3 linked regions of the Ovis aries genome follow. The protein of the gene in region 2 interacts with the protein of the main gene of each other region in a biochemical or structural test. Links are inferred from orthologs where the notes say so. Each region holds a gene or a part of one and is shown on either strand. Other genes may lie near its edges.

Region 1 (3,532 bases), on a different chromosome or scaffold from region 2:
CTCCATTGTTACAAGGCCAGGACTGAGTTCCCAGGTGAAGGGGCTGGCTCTCATCCTCACTTCTGTTCCTTGCCTGGGCAGGGCAGGATTCACAGGGGAAGGGACAGGGCTTAAACACTTAAGCTGGGACCGCCATCATTTTGACTCCTCTTCCTTCCCAGGATGGACTAGACTGGTGGTTCCAAGAGAGGGGATGGAGCAGTATCCGGACACCTCTTTATCCCAGGAAACCAGCTAGGACAGTCCCTAGGGGCCAGGGGCCAACCTCATCCCATCTCTTTCCCTCACCTGGGCAAGGGCGGGTCCCACGGGATAAGGTCAGGCTGTGATCTGCAGGAGACAGGCCCTGATGTCCCTACCTTCTCCATGCCTGAACAGCTGCACTGGCCTGTCCTGTGGGGAAGAGGTGGGGCCTCATCAAGTCTCCTTTTCCCCGGGGTACACCTGGACAGGGCAGTCTCATGGAAAGGTGGGGGAAAAGGTGGGGCCTCATCCTGACAGGTCCTCCCTTCCTGGGTGGGGAAGTCCCAGGGGAGGGGTGAGGCGTGATCAGGACTCCTCTTCCATGCTGAAGCTGCTGCGGCGACTGCTGGCCTTGGAGACTGCAGGGGATACTGAAGAAAGCAGGGGATCAGAGGCAGCCCGCAGTGGGGACAGGGTGCCCCCTGACAGTCCCCCCACCACCCCCTCCTCCTCCTCCATCAGAATGTCCTCCAGCCCCAGGTGGAAGGGGTCGCCCAGATCTCCCAGGTGGTCGCTGGGAAAGTGCAGGTCCAGAAGTGCATCCGAGGGTGGTGGTGGGGGCTGCTGATGGGGAGCACTTTGGGCAAGGCCCCCTGCTGCATGAAAAATTGCTGTGCCTGGCCTGCCTTCCTCTTCAACATCCAGCTGCTCTGGCTTGAGACTGTCAGAGGCTGAAGTTGCAGCCAGCGAGAGCAGCCCTGGGGTGGGAGGCACCGGCAGACCATGAATCTGGGCCTGCAGCTCCAGCTCCTGCAAAACATAAGTGGGGGGGGGTGGTAGGACAAGATGGGGTTCAGAGGTCCTTCAGAGGCAGAGGATTTAAGAGTTAAAAGAGTAGGCTGCCTAGGTTCAAATTCAGCCTCTGCCACTCACTAGTTGCATAACGTCAGGCAAGTTGCTTACCATCTGTCTCTGAGCCTCAGAGTCCCAATCCATAAAATGGATGTAATAATGGTCCCTGTCTCACAGGATTATTGTATTAACTTAGTAAATGGAGAGAAGGTTCTTGTCACAGTTCATGGCACAAGATAAACACCATGTCTGTTAGCCAGTATTCATTATTATTCTTGTTAATATTATGACTGATCTTCCCAGGTGGCACTAGTGGTAAGAACCCACCTGCTAATGCAGGAGACATAAGAGACAGGTTCAATCCTTGGGTGGGGAAGATCCCCTGGAGGAGGGCATGGCAACCCACTCCAGTATTCTTGCCTGGAGAGCTACAGTCCATGGAGTCACAGAGTCGGACATGACTGAAGCAACTCAGCACTAGCACAATGTTATGATCACTGCTTATGATCATCATAAGGAATGATGATCCCAGGAAGCCCAGGGATCCCCCAAATATGCCCAGAGGGGAAATCCTGGCTGGTTCTCCCTCTGCTTCTGCCTCAGGAAGCCCCTCACCCCCACCTCTGCTACTGCCTCTTCCTTCCAGACCTGGATTCGGAGCTGCAGGCTGCGGTTGGCTTGCTCCAGGGATCGCTGCCGGCTCTCCAGGTCTTTGGAGCGCTGTTGCTCCTTCTGCAACTTGCGGATGTAATCCACGGAGGCTTTTAGGATGGTGCCCTTGTTCCAGCGCATCTCCCTGTGGAGCCCAAGGGGGAGGAAAGAAGGGAATGCTGGGAAAGAAGGGAATGGAGTCTCTTGGGAGCTGAAGGGGGCACTGCACCAGGTAGATGGAGCACCCAGCCACATGCCTGGAACTTGAAGTGTGGGCCCATCATGGGTATGGAGTGCTCAGATGAAAACCACCTGCCTGGAACCCTCCAATGATGCCCTATCACACTCCAAACCCAGGAGACTCCCTGACCTGATCCCTTACCGCTCCTCTTATTGACCCCCCTCTGATTTATCTCACTGCAGCCACATTGGCTTCTCAATGCTCCTACAACATGGAATATCATTTCCACATCAGGGCCTCCAGCTCAGTTCTGCCCTCCACCTTGAGCTCTCTTTTTTTCTAGACACCCAGATGGCTCCAGCCTCAGCTACTCAGGCTCTTTATTCAAATGTTTCCTCATCAGTTGAGGCCTACCCTGTCCCTATCCTCTCCTCACCCTAAACTGTGACCTCCCCAACATCCCCCCTTCTTCCTTCCATTCTTCATTCCTCTCCACCACACTCATCATAACCACCAGATTTTACTTATTTATCTTGTTTGCTGTCTGTCTGCCCCCACTAAAACATCAGTTCCACGAGGTCGGAGACTTTTGTGTGTTTTGTGCCCTCTCGTATCCTCAGGGCCTAGCATGGTACCTGGCACAAAGCAGAAGCAACTGAATACACTTCTTGAGTAAATAAAAGAAGTACTAAATAAGCAGAAAACTCATGCGGGGGTTGGATGAGGTACAGGGACCATAATGTCATGCACCTAAATTTAGATTGGGACATGGTGAGGGGCTGCCACCCTGCTCAGAGTGAGGGAAGCTGGGTGAGAAAGAGGCACATGAGTAGGACTGCCTGGGTGGTTCCCATTTAGGGTGGGCCCACCCAGCAATGACTTTCAGGGAGTGGGGCCCCTGTCCCACCTTCCACTGGCCCTGGGGCTCCCGGCCCAGACTCACGGGTCACTGGACTTGGGGATGAGGGTGCCCAACTCCTTGATCCTGTCGTTAATGTTGAATCGCCTGCGACGTTCAACTTGGAAGGTGAGGGAAAGAAAGAGGAGTCATCAATAGGCCGAGGAGGGAAGGAGAAAAACTGGGGAGTTGAGAAGCTGCTGCAGGGAGAGCCCCACCCGCTCAAGGAAGGCTGGGCAGAGTGAAGCAGGGCTCCATGGCACGCAGCCAGGGGTACATGCTCCCACTCACTCAGGTTGTGATTGTCTTTCTTCTGCCGTTCCTTCAAAAGGGCCTTGGCCTCTGTCTCTGGAAGAGATGGGGCAGTGGTCAGGGCTTCTAGGCCTGGGAAAGGTGACAGACGACGGAGGGCAGCACACGTAGCCACTGGGGTAGGCTTTGGTGGGCGCAGGCAGGGGAAGTGACTACTTACAAAGTGCTACCCGTTTTACGATTTTTAAAGAAGCCATGGTGACAGGCTATTTGTTAAACCCAAGAGAAGAGGAAGTGGACTGAAAGCAGGACCACAGGCCATGCGGCCAAAGGTGGCAAACAGCCCCCATTACTGTTTAAACCCTCTTCCCCTAGAACCAGGCCCGACCTCCAGACCTGGTAGAAATGGGGCTTGCCCTGGGGTAAAGGATGATAGCACAGGGCCAAGACCCTGTTCCTTACCAGAGATCTCCCGTTTGATATTGGGCAGCTCAGCTGGACAGGAGTTGCTGACA
Region 2 (4,218 bases):
AAAAGTGCTGCTGAACCACTAATTCCCCTTCAGAACAACGGCACACCTTTCTAAGGTGATAGTATTGGTTTAGTTTCTCAGTGGTGTCTGACTATTTGCGACCCCAGACTGTAGCCCACCAGGCTCCTCTGTCCATGGCATTTTCCAGACAAGAACACTGGAGTGGTTTGCCATTTCCTCCTCCAGAGGATCTTCCTGACCGACCCAGGGTTCAAACCCAGGTCTCACATTCCAGGCAGATTCTTTACCATCTGAGCCATCAGGGAAGCCTTCTAAGGTGACAGTGGCTTTTTATCAGTTTCTGTTCAAAGTAACTAGTTCTTACAGAAATTTTAGCTCATTAACATGTTCCAAGGAACAGAGCTAAAGTTTTAACAGATCTCTGTTCTCAAATACTACATGAAAAATAAAAAACACACTCCTGTTTGTTTCATTTTCCTATCTCAAAACTTTCTCCTTTTAAAAATAGGCCTAGAACATCTGTGATTACCATATACTTTAAAGTAGCCTAGTTTTATTTACTCAAAATATAACAAGACTGAAAAAAAATTAATATAGTATACAGTTTTAAGTCATTCACAAAATTATCAATCATAAAAATAAGTTCGGCTGAAATAAAGAAAACTGAGAATTTGGGTGTTTTTAAACTATGTTACACATGATTCTAAATTATCAAACAGGTTATTTATAACTACTGAAACTGGTTCTGTGAGATTTACTTCTAAAATAGCCAGTTTTTACCAATTCAAAAGTTACTCTTTCTGTGTATGTTTTATGTTCCCCATCACATTTTTTATTCTACTTGCAATCATAAATAGCAGTTCAAATTCAAAGAGTCAATAGCCTACTAAATCCAGTTTTAAATGCTGATGCATGCCCCCAACCCCTGCAAAATGTACATTTTCAAAGCAGTAAGTACTTTTCTTGTAAATGTTATCAGCACCCACCCATACAGACTAGTTCTAAGTCAATAAAAAATAAAGGGCATGGGATAAAAGAAGAGAGAAAGTTAAAAGAAAAGGGATTACCTACCATTACTCTGCAGTGTTAATCCTGAGAGATCTTAAATTTTTAAAGGGGAAAAAAAATAAAATATTAATCATTATAATGAAAATAATTTCCACCATATTTAAAATTACAGAATATAAATTTAAGCCAGAGATTCAAAATTTTCATGAACCATTTCAATTCAAGAATAGTAGTATAAATGCTATCTAACAATGCAAAAGTGCTTTCCATCTTATTTTTCAATAACAGTGTTCTACACAGGAAAAATATCAAGTATGTACACTTAGTTTTAGTAGTCAAAATATAAGCTTTCTCAGAATTCAAATTTAAATACACGTTATTTCATTAAAAATATCTGAGTTTTAAAATTAGTTGAAATCCTAGGCTATCTCCAAATTTACAATCTAACTTAGAAAAATTAAAACACTATTGATATCTTTCCCCTTTATGCTTCTAAGCATAGAAGTGAAGCCTGCTTACCAATTCCAGGTGATACAACTCGTTCATAGTGATATGGATTCACACAGACACTATCACATTTTAAGTCAAATGCATACTGACAATATTTAACATGTTTTAGTTCATTTTTGTGAAGGTCAGGCCACCTCCAGAGACGGGCATAGATCACATGAGGAAATCCCTTCCGACCAGCCACCTAAGAAAAGTAAATAACCATTTAATGAGCATCAATTATGCATCACACATTATACAAGGCACTTGATACACTCTCATTTAATCCTTGCAATCCTACAAAGTCAGTATTAAAATTCCTATTTCTTAAACGAGAAAACTAAAGTGCAAAATAACTTAATTGGACAAGGTCACAAAGTAGTAAACTTAAAGTATGATTTCAAGGCTTAGGCTCAGGTTTTAAAAATACACAAAAAAAGTATGCGTTTAATGAAGAAACAATACCTAAAATCTAGAAATAAAAAATTTTAAACCTAACATTATGTTTTCTATATGTTTCTTTAAAAATATCAAACACATGAGATTATGTAATTCTACATGAAAAATTTGATCCCTGGAAACAAAAGGTAAAGACTTGTAAATTTAAGTTAACTCCGTAAGTTTTAGAAATATTGTTGAATTCTTCTGGATTGTTTTTCACATAAAAGTACCAGACATACAATACCAAATTTCTAAATTATAAGAAAAAAAAAAAGGAAAGAAAGCAAGCTGAGTTGTACATATAATACCAAAAAAGAAAAAAAGGCTACAAGGATGAATACCAAAGGGCTAAAGACGTAGGTTTTCTTCTGATTTTTATTTTCCAAATTTTCTATACTGAACATTTTTTTTAGTCAAAACATTTTTAAAAACTTTTAAGCTATACCTCTATTGAAAGAAGATACATCCTTCCATTTATTTCCATATAGTGTATTAGTACAGGATCCTGTATTGATAATATCTGTACTATAGGATGTACTACAGTATCTAAAGAGATGGAGCAAGCATGAAATTTCCATAGTAACTTAAGAGGAAACAAGGATTTGTAAAAACCTGCCATTACAAAGTACAGAAGAAACCTTGGAACAAGACTAACCTGAAGCCTTCCGTCCAATGTTCTCTGTATGGTAACACACTTGCTAGGGTGAGCTCCATTTGTAGTTATAGCTGTTATTAAAGAATCCAATTCATCTTTTTTCTCCTTCAGCTTTTTAACCAAACTTTCAATTGCTCTTTTGGCAAATGTTTCACTCTCTCCACCTTGTCTATGGCACATCAAACTATGTACAATGCTCAGACAGGCATCATTACTTGTTGGTGTATTCGTAATAGACATATTGTCCATTTGTTAAAGTTATTTCTTTTAAATCAAATATGTCTCCAATTTCTGGAGCAATTTTGATCTTTTGGAAGCAGCGAAAAACAACAGTTAACGTTGCAAGAAAAACTGTTAGACATGTAGTATTCAGGATAATCTAAAAAAAACAGAGAGAGACAGATATCAGAACACATTTCATAAAGCAGATTCAATTACTTTGGAAAAGATGGAATTGCTTCAATTAAGTCAAAGACTCAATGCACATAATTAAATGTGGTGCTTAGAGTTTTAAATGATTTAATTAAAATGTTGCCGTTTTTGACATTCCCAAAATATTAAAGTTAGACCTTATTATTATAGAGGCATGTTCAATCAAGTCTTGTTGACTGTACTAGCCACCCTAAAGTAAAATCTTAACAGAACCTTTAAAATGGATTACTTCTGAAGAGCAGCACTTTAAAATATTCTTGATTAACAAGTAACTAAAGCTAAAAGTCAACCACTAATACACATGAAAAATTCGCCATCACCTGGCACCAAATGCTGTTTATCCATCAGCAATAGCCATCTTTGTTATAAGAGATCACCGACAACAATAAAAAGATGAATAATTTTTAAATGGGCAAAGGATTCTAATACTCATTTTGCCAAAGAAGAATGGCCAATAAGGACATGAAAGATACTCAAAATCATTAATCATTACTGAACTGCAAATCAAAACTACAAAGAGATACCACTTAACATTCACCAGGTGGATAAATCTAAACAACAGACAAAAAGCATTCGTGAGAAAATGGAACCCTCATACACTGCACATGGGATTGCAAAATGGTACAGCCACCTTGGAAAAGGACTCTGACAATTCCTCAAAATGTTAAACACAAAGTTACCATATAATCCAGGGATCATACCCTCAGCAATTCCATCCAAAATTACCAAAAACCTATGCCCACACAAAAATATGTACATAAATGTTCACAGCAGTATCATTCCTAATAGCCAAAACAACTCAAATTCCCATCAACTGATGAATGTATCAATATATACAATGTAATATTATCTAGTCATCAATAAGAATGAAGTACTGGTACATGCTTCAACATGGATGAACCTGGAAAACACGCTAAGTGAAAGTCACAGAAGGCCACTTGCTATATAGCCCCGTTTATATGAAACATCCAGAACAGGCAAAGCACCAAAAAAAAAAAAAAAGTGGATTAGTGGTTGCCAAAGGTTTAGGTAGGGGAGGGTGAGGAATGATTGCTAATAGGTATGGCATTTCCTTTGCATCAGTTGCTAAGCCCTGTCTCTTTTCAACTCCATGAACTATATAAAGTGCCAGGCTCCTCTGTCCATGGAATTCTCCAGCAAGAATACTGGAGTGAGTAACCATGTCCTTCTCCAGGAGATCTTTCCAGCCCAGGGATCGAACCCACATCTCT
Region 3 (4,318 bases), on a different chromosome or scaffold from region 2:
GCTCTGGGAGTGTTGTCTCCTCCACTTGGTCCCCTCTTAAGACCCCTTCCTGGAGCCCTGCAAAGCCAGAAGGCAGAGGGGAGGGGGCCCCCTGGAGTCAGGCACTGCCCATCCAGGGGCCCTCAGGCTCTTGGCCCTCCTGAGAATGATGGCTTGGCTGAAGGAGCGGGAGGAATCGAGCGTTTGGCTGAAAACCCTCCCTGTCCAGCCTTCCAACCACCTTCTTTCAATTACAAGTCACCTGATTGTATGGGAGTCAAAGCCATGTAGAAGGAACAGACTCAGGTACAACAGAAAATTTTTGGTCCAGATGTTGTTTACTTGCGAAGTCATGTCTGACTCTGCGACCCCATGGACAGCAGCATGCCAGGCTTCCCTGTCCTCCTTCACCATCTCCGAGAGTTTGCTCAAACTCATGTCCATTGAATCGGTGCTGACATCCAACTGTCTCATCCTCTGTTGCTCCCTTCTCCTCCTGCTGTCAATCTTTCCCAGCATCAGGGTCTTTTCCAGTGAGTCAGTTCTTCACATCAGGTGGCCGAAGTATTGGATCTTCAGCTTCAGGTTCAGTCCTTCCAATGAATATTCAGGGTTGATTTCCTTTAGGACTGACTGGTTTGATTTCCTTGCAGTCCAAGGGACACTCAAGAATCTTCTCCAGCACCATGGAGTCTGCGAAAGCAAAGACATCTCTTTTCTTGTTTTGTATGGACCCCTTTCCTAGTTTTCCTGTGTTGGCAGCCATAGGAAAACCTGGTGTTCAGTGGACATGTGGGTAGGAGAGGGTTCACGCTCACGGTAGGGAGCTGTCAGTTCTTCAGATGTAGAGCAATGCACCCTGAACCACAAGGTCCCCCCATGAGATTCTGCAGCCATACAGATGTGGGGTCTCTGCCCATTCTTGCTGCCTCTCTGGACACTTGTCCATGCCTGCAGAGACACCCATTCAGCTCCCCGGGGCAGGAATGCTGGTTTGGGGCCAGTTTCCATCTCCAAAGGGGAGTCAGGAGCAGTAAGGTCCAAGCTGAAGGTCACACAGGCTGAAGTGGGTGGGCCCTCTCACCTCTGCCCAACACTGTGGGCCCCCCATGTGTCCTCCAGTGTCTGGGCCAGCTTGGGTGCCCCGGTCCTTTGGAAGAAAAGTCGCCACTGCCTAGCTGGGCTGGACTGTCCCTCTGCCCTTGAGTTAAGCACAACCAGAACTGTCTTCTAGATCTCAAGTCCCAAGCTCCCAGGACTCTGCTAGACACTGTTTCCTCTGGGGGCCACCCGGTCAGCCTGTCCAACCTCAGGCCCTTGTCTTGTCCCACCCAGCGCTTTCTGGTCTGTCTGTCCTTCGTGATAGAGCCAGGGTGCAGAAGGATGGACAGTGTGATCTCACACTGGCCCTGCCCTGGGTGCCCTGCAGATGTAAAATGGCTCTTTGAGCCTGGGAGCTGTTGGGTAAGGGTAGGGCCAGCGTGCTCGGGGCACGCAGGCAGGAGCCAGGTTCCTGAGAAGCCCCGGCCTCATGGTAACCTGGACGCAAGCCCTGCCCTGGAACTGGCGGTGGGCGCACAAAGTAGCTGTGTGGGGGACCATCGAGCAGGGTCGTGGGGTGGTCGGCCCTGCAGCCAGTCATCCTTTGGGGGTTGCTGTGTTGCGCCTGCATTGCTCGGGGGGACCCCCAGAACAGTCTGCACGGTGCCTGTCTCCCGTGTGGGGTCTCTGGGGTGTTGCCATCCTGTAGTAACCCACGTCGTCTGGCTCGGTGTCCTAGTCCTGCGTGGGACTTGGGTCATATTGCCTCGTCACGTGCGTGGGGACCCGGGGGGCTGGGCCGGGAGGCGTGCGGTAGAGGGTGCGCCGGCCCCATCCGTCCGCCCCTCAGCTGGTTTGCGGTTGTGGTGGGGGGGCCCTGTGTGGGTTTCTGGGCTCCGGCGGCGACACGGCGGCTGGACGGGCGCCTTCGCAGCCGCGCAGGAAACAGCCTCCACCGGATGGGGGGCCCGGGGCGCAGCCACCGCCCCCGCCGAGCGGCCTTCCGGCGAGCGGGCCCGAACGGAGCCGAACGGAGCTGAGTCCCGGACGGGCGGGGCCGAGAGTAGCCGAGCGAAGCCGAGTCGCGGGCGGGCAGGCCCGAGACCAGCCGAGCGGATCCGAGTCCCGGGCCGGAGGGCGGACCCGAATGCGGCCGAGTGAGGCGGAGCGCCGAGCGCGGGCGGGGGGAGCGCGCGTTCCTGGAAGAGCCTGGCCGGGGGGGCGGCGGGCGCATTCCTGGCTGGCGCTCGGCTGAGGCCGACGCGCGGCCCCAGACGACGCTCGGGGCGGGGCGGTGGCGCGGGGCGGGGCGGGACGCGGGGCGGGGCGGCGGCGTGAGCTCAGCGCCGGGCGCTCAGTCCGAGCTGGAGCGAGCCGCCGGGAGGATGTGCGCCGAGCCCCGCGCCGCCGCCGCCGCCGCGGTCTGAGGCCGCCCCACAGGCGCTCCGCCGCCCCGGAAGCCGCGTGCGCGGGCGGGCGGGCGGGTGGGCAGGCCGCGGAGCCGGGCGCGGGCGGCGGGGTGGGTGCGGGCCGGGCCGGGAGGCCGGCGGCGGGCGCAACGCGGCCGGCCAGCGCCGCCGGGACGAGCCGGGCGGGCGCCGCGCGGTGGGAGGAGCGGGGCGGCGGCGGCGCGCCGCGCGAGGACGGCCCGGCGGGCCCCGCGCCCGCGCCCCCGCTCCTCCCGGGCCCCTCGGCCTCGGCCGCCGCGGCGATTCGCGCCTCGCGGCGCCGGCACCTGCCCGCGCGCCCCCCGCGAGCCCCGGGCCCGCGAGCGTTGGCGTTGGCGTTGGCGGCGCGCGCTGGGGCATGCCCCGCGCCTAGGGCCCGGGGGGCGCGCGGGGGGCGCGCGGGGGGCCCGGGCGGCGGCGGGCGCGGCGCGGGGCGCGTGGATGTGGCGCCGGGCCCGGGCGGCGGCGGCGGGCTCCAGCGGCGGGACCCCTTCGCCCCGCCCGCCTTCCCCTTCGGGCCCCCGGGCGAGGCCGAGGCCGCGGCCGTGATCGGCCGGGAGCCGGCGGCGGGGGGCGGCCGGGGCCGGGGCCGGGGGCGCCGCCGGGGCGCGCGGGGCGGCGGCGGGGGCCGCGGGGGCCCGGGCACGCGGGAGCGGGAGCGGCCTGGGGAGCCGGAGCGCACCATGGAGGCGGCGGCGGGCGGCCGCGGCGGCTTCCAACCGCACCCGGGGCTGCAGAAGACGCTGGAGCAGTTCCACCTCAGCTCCATGAGCTCGCTGGGCGGCCCGGCCGCCTTCTCGGCGCGCTGGGCGCAGGAGGCCTACAAGAAGGAGAGCGCCAAGGAGGCGGGCGCGGCCGCGGTGCCGGCGCCGGTGCCCGCGGCCGCCGAACCCCCGCCGGTGCTGCACCTGCCCGCCATCCAGCCGCCGCCGCCCGTGCTACCCGGGCCCTTCTTCATGCCGTCCGACCGCTCCACGGAGCGCTGCGAGACCGTGCTGGAGGGCGAGACCATCTCGTGTTTCGTGGTGGGCGGCGAGAAGCGGCTGTGTCTGCCGCAGATCCTCAACTCCGTGCTGCGCGACTTCTCGCTGCAACAGATCAACTCGGTGTGCGACGAGCTTCACATCTACTGCTCGCGCTGCACGGCCGACCAGCTGGAGATCCTCAAAGTCATGGGCATCCTGCCCTTCTCGGCGCCCTCGTGCGGGCTCATCACCAAGACGGACGCCGAGCGCCTGTGCAACGCGCTGCTGTACGGCGGCGCCTACCCGCCGCCCTGCAAGAAGGAGCTGGCGGCCAGCCTGGCGCTGGGCCTGGAGCTCAGCGAGCGCAGTGTGCGTGTGTACCACGAGTGCTTCGGCAAGTGCAAGGGGCTGCTGGTGCCCGAGCTCTACAGCAGCCCAAGCGCCGCCTGCATCCAGTGCCTCGACTGCCGCCTCATGTACCCGCCGCACAAGTTCGTGGTGCACTCGCACAAGGCTCTGGAAAACCGGACCTGCCACTGGGGCTTCGACTCGGCCAACTGGCGGGCCTACATCCTGCTCAGTCAGGACTACACGGGCAAGGAGGAGCAGGCGCGTCTCGGCCGCTGTCTGGACGACGTCAAGGAGAAGTTTGATTATGGCAACAAGTACAAGCGGCGGGTGCCCCGGGTGAGTGTCCCGTGGCAGCCGTGCCTGGGGAGTGGGAGTGGGACCTGGAGAGGGCGGGGTGCCCTTCTGGGTCGGGGGGCTCAGCCTCCCCCACACGTTTCAGGGCTAGGTTTTGTTTTGTGGAAACTTGGGGGCGTTGTTGGTGTCCGCATAGACTGCTCCGTATCGGAGGAAGGTCCTTTGGTCTGACTCCTAGGA

The links.
Region 1: the proteins of SMAD4 (region 2) and TFE3 form a complex in vitro, tested with the Homo sapiens proteins (2 studies listed by BioGRID). The link is inferred for Ovis aries from reciprocal best matches to the Homo sapiens genes SMAD4 and TFE3.
Region 3: the proteins of SMAD4 (region 2) and SKI form a complex in vitro, tested with the Homo sapiens proteins (3 studies listed by BioGRID and IntAct, with this or other methods). The link is inferred for Ovis aries from reciprocal best matches to the Homo sapiens genes SMAD4 and SKI.

Annotation. Positions count from the first base shown.
Region 1 is NC_056080.1:56,077,991-56,081,522, reverse strand, and holds part of TFE3 (transcription factor E3), read right to left. Parts: coding exon 3,480-3,532; intron 3,114-3,479; coding exon 3,057-3,113; intron 2,887-3,056; coding exon 2,811-2,886; intron 1,832-2,810; coding exon 1,684-1,831; intron 994-1,683; coding exon 550-993; 3' UTR 1-549. UniProt on the Homo sapiens protein: Transcription factor that acts as a master regulator of lysosomal biogenesis and immune response.
Region 2 is NC_056076.1:50,866,497-50,870,714, reverse strand, and holds the start of SMAD4 (mothers against decapentaplegic homolog 4), read right to left. Parts: upstream 2,804-4,218; coding exon 2,555-2,803; intron 1,664-2,554; coding exon 1,489-1,663; intron 1,063-1,488; coding exon 1,033-1,062; intron 1-1,032. UniProt on the Homo sapiens protein: In muscle physiology, plays a central role in the balance between atrophy and hypertrophy. When recruited by MSTN, promotes atrophy response via phosphorylated SMAD2/4.
Region 3 is NC_056065.1:49,878,248-49,882,565, reverse strand, and holds the start of SKI (ski oncogene), read left to right. Parts: upstream 1-1,510; coding exon 1,511-1,600; intron 1,601-1,870; coding exon 1,871-2,177; intron 2,178-2,294; coding exon 2,295-4,120; intron 4,121-4,318. UniProt on the Homo sapiens protein: May play a role in terminal differentiation of skeletal muscle cells but not in the determination of cells to the myogenic lineage. Functions as a repressor of TGF-beta signaling.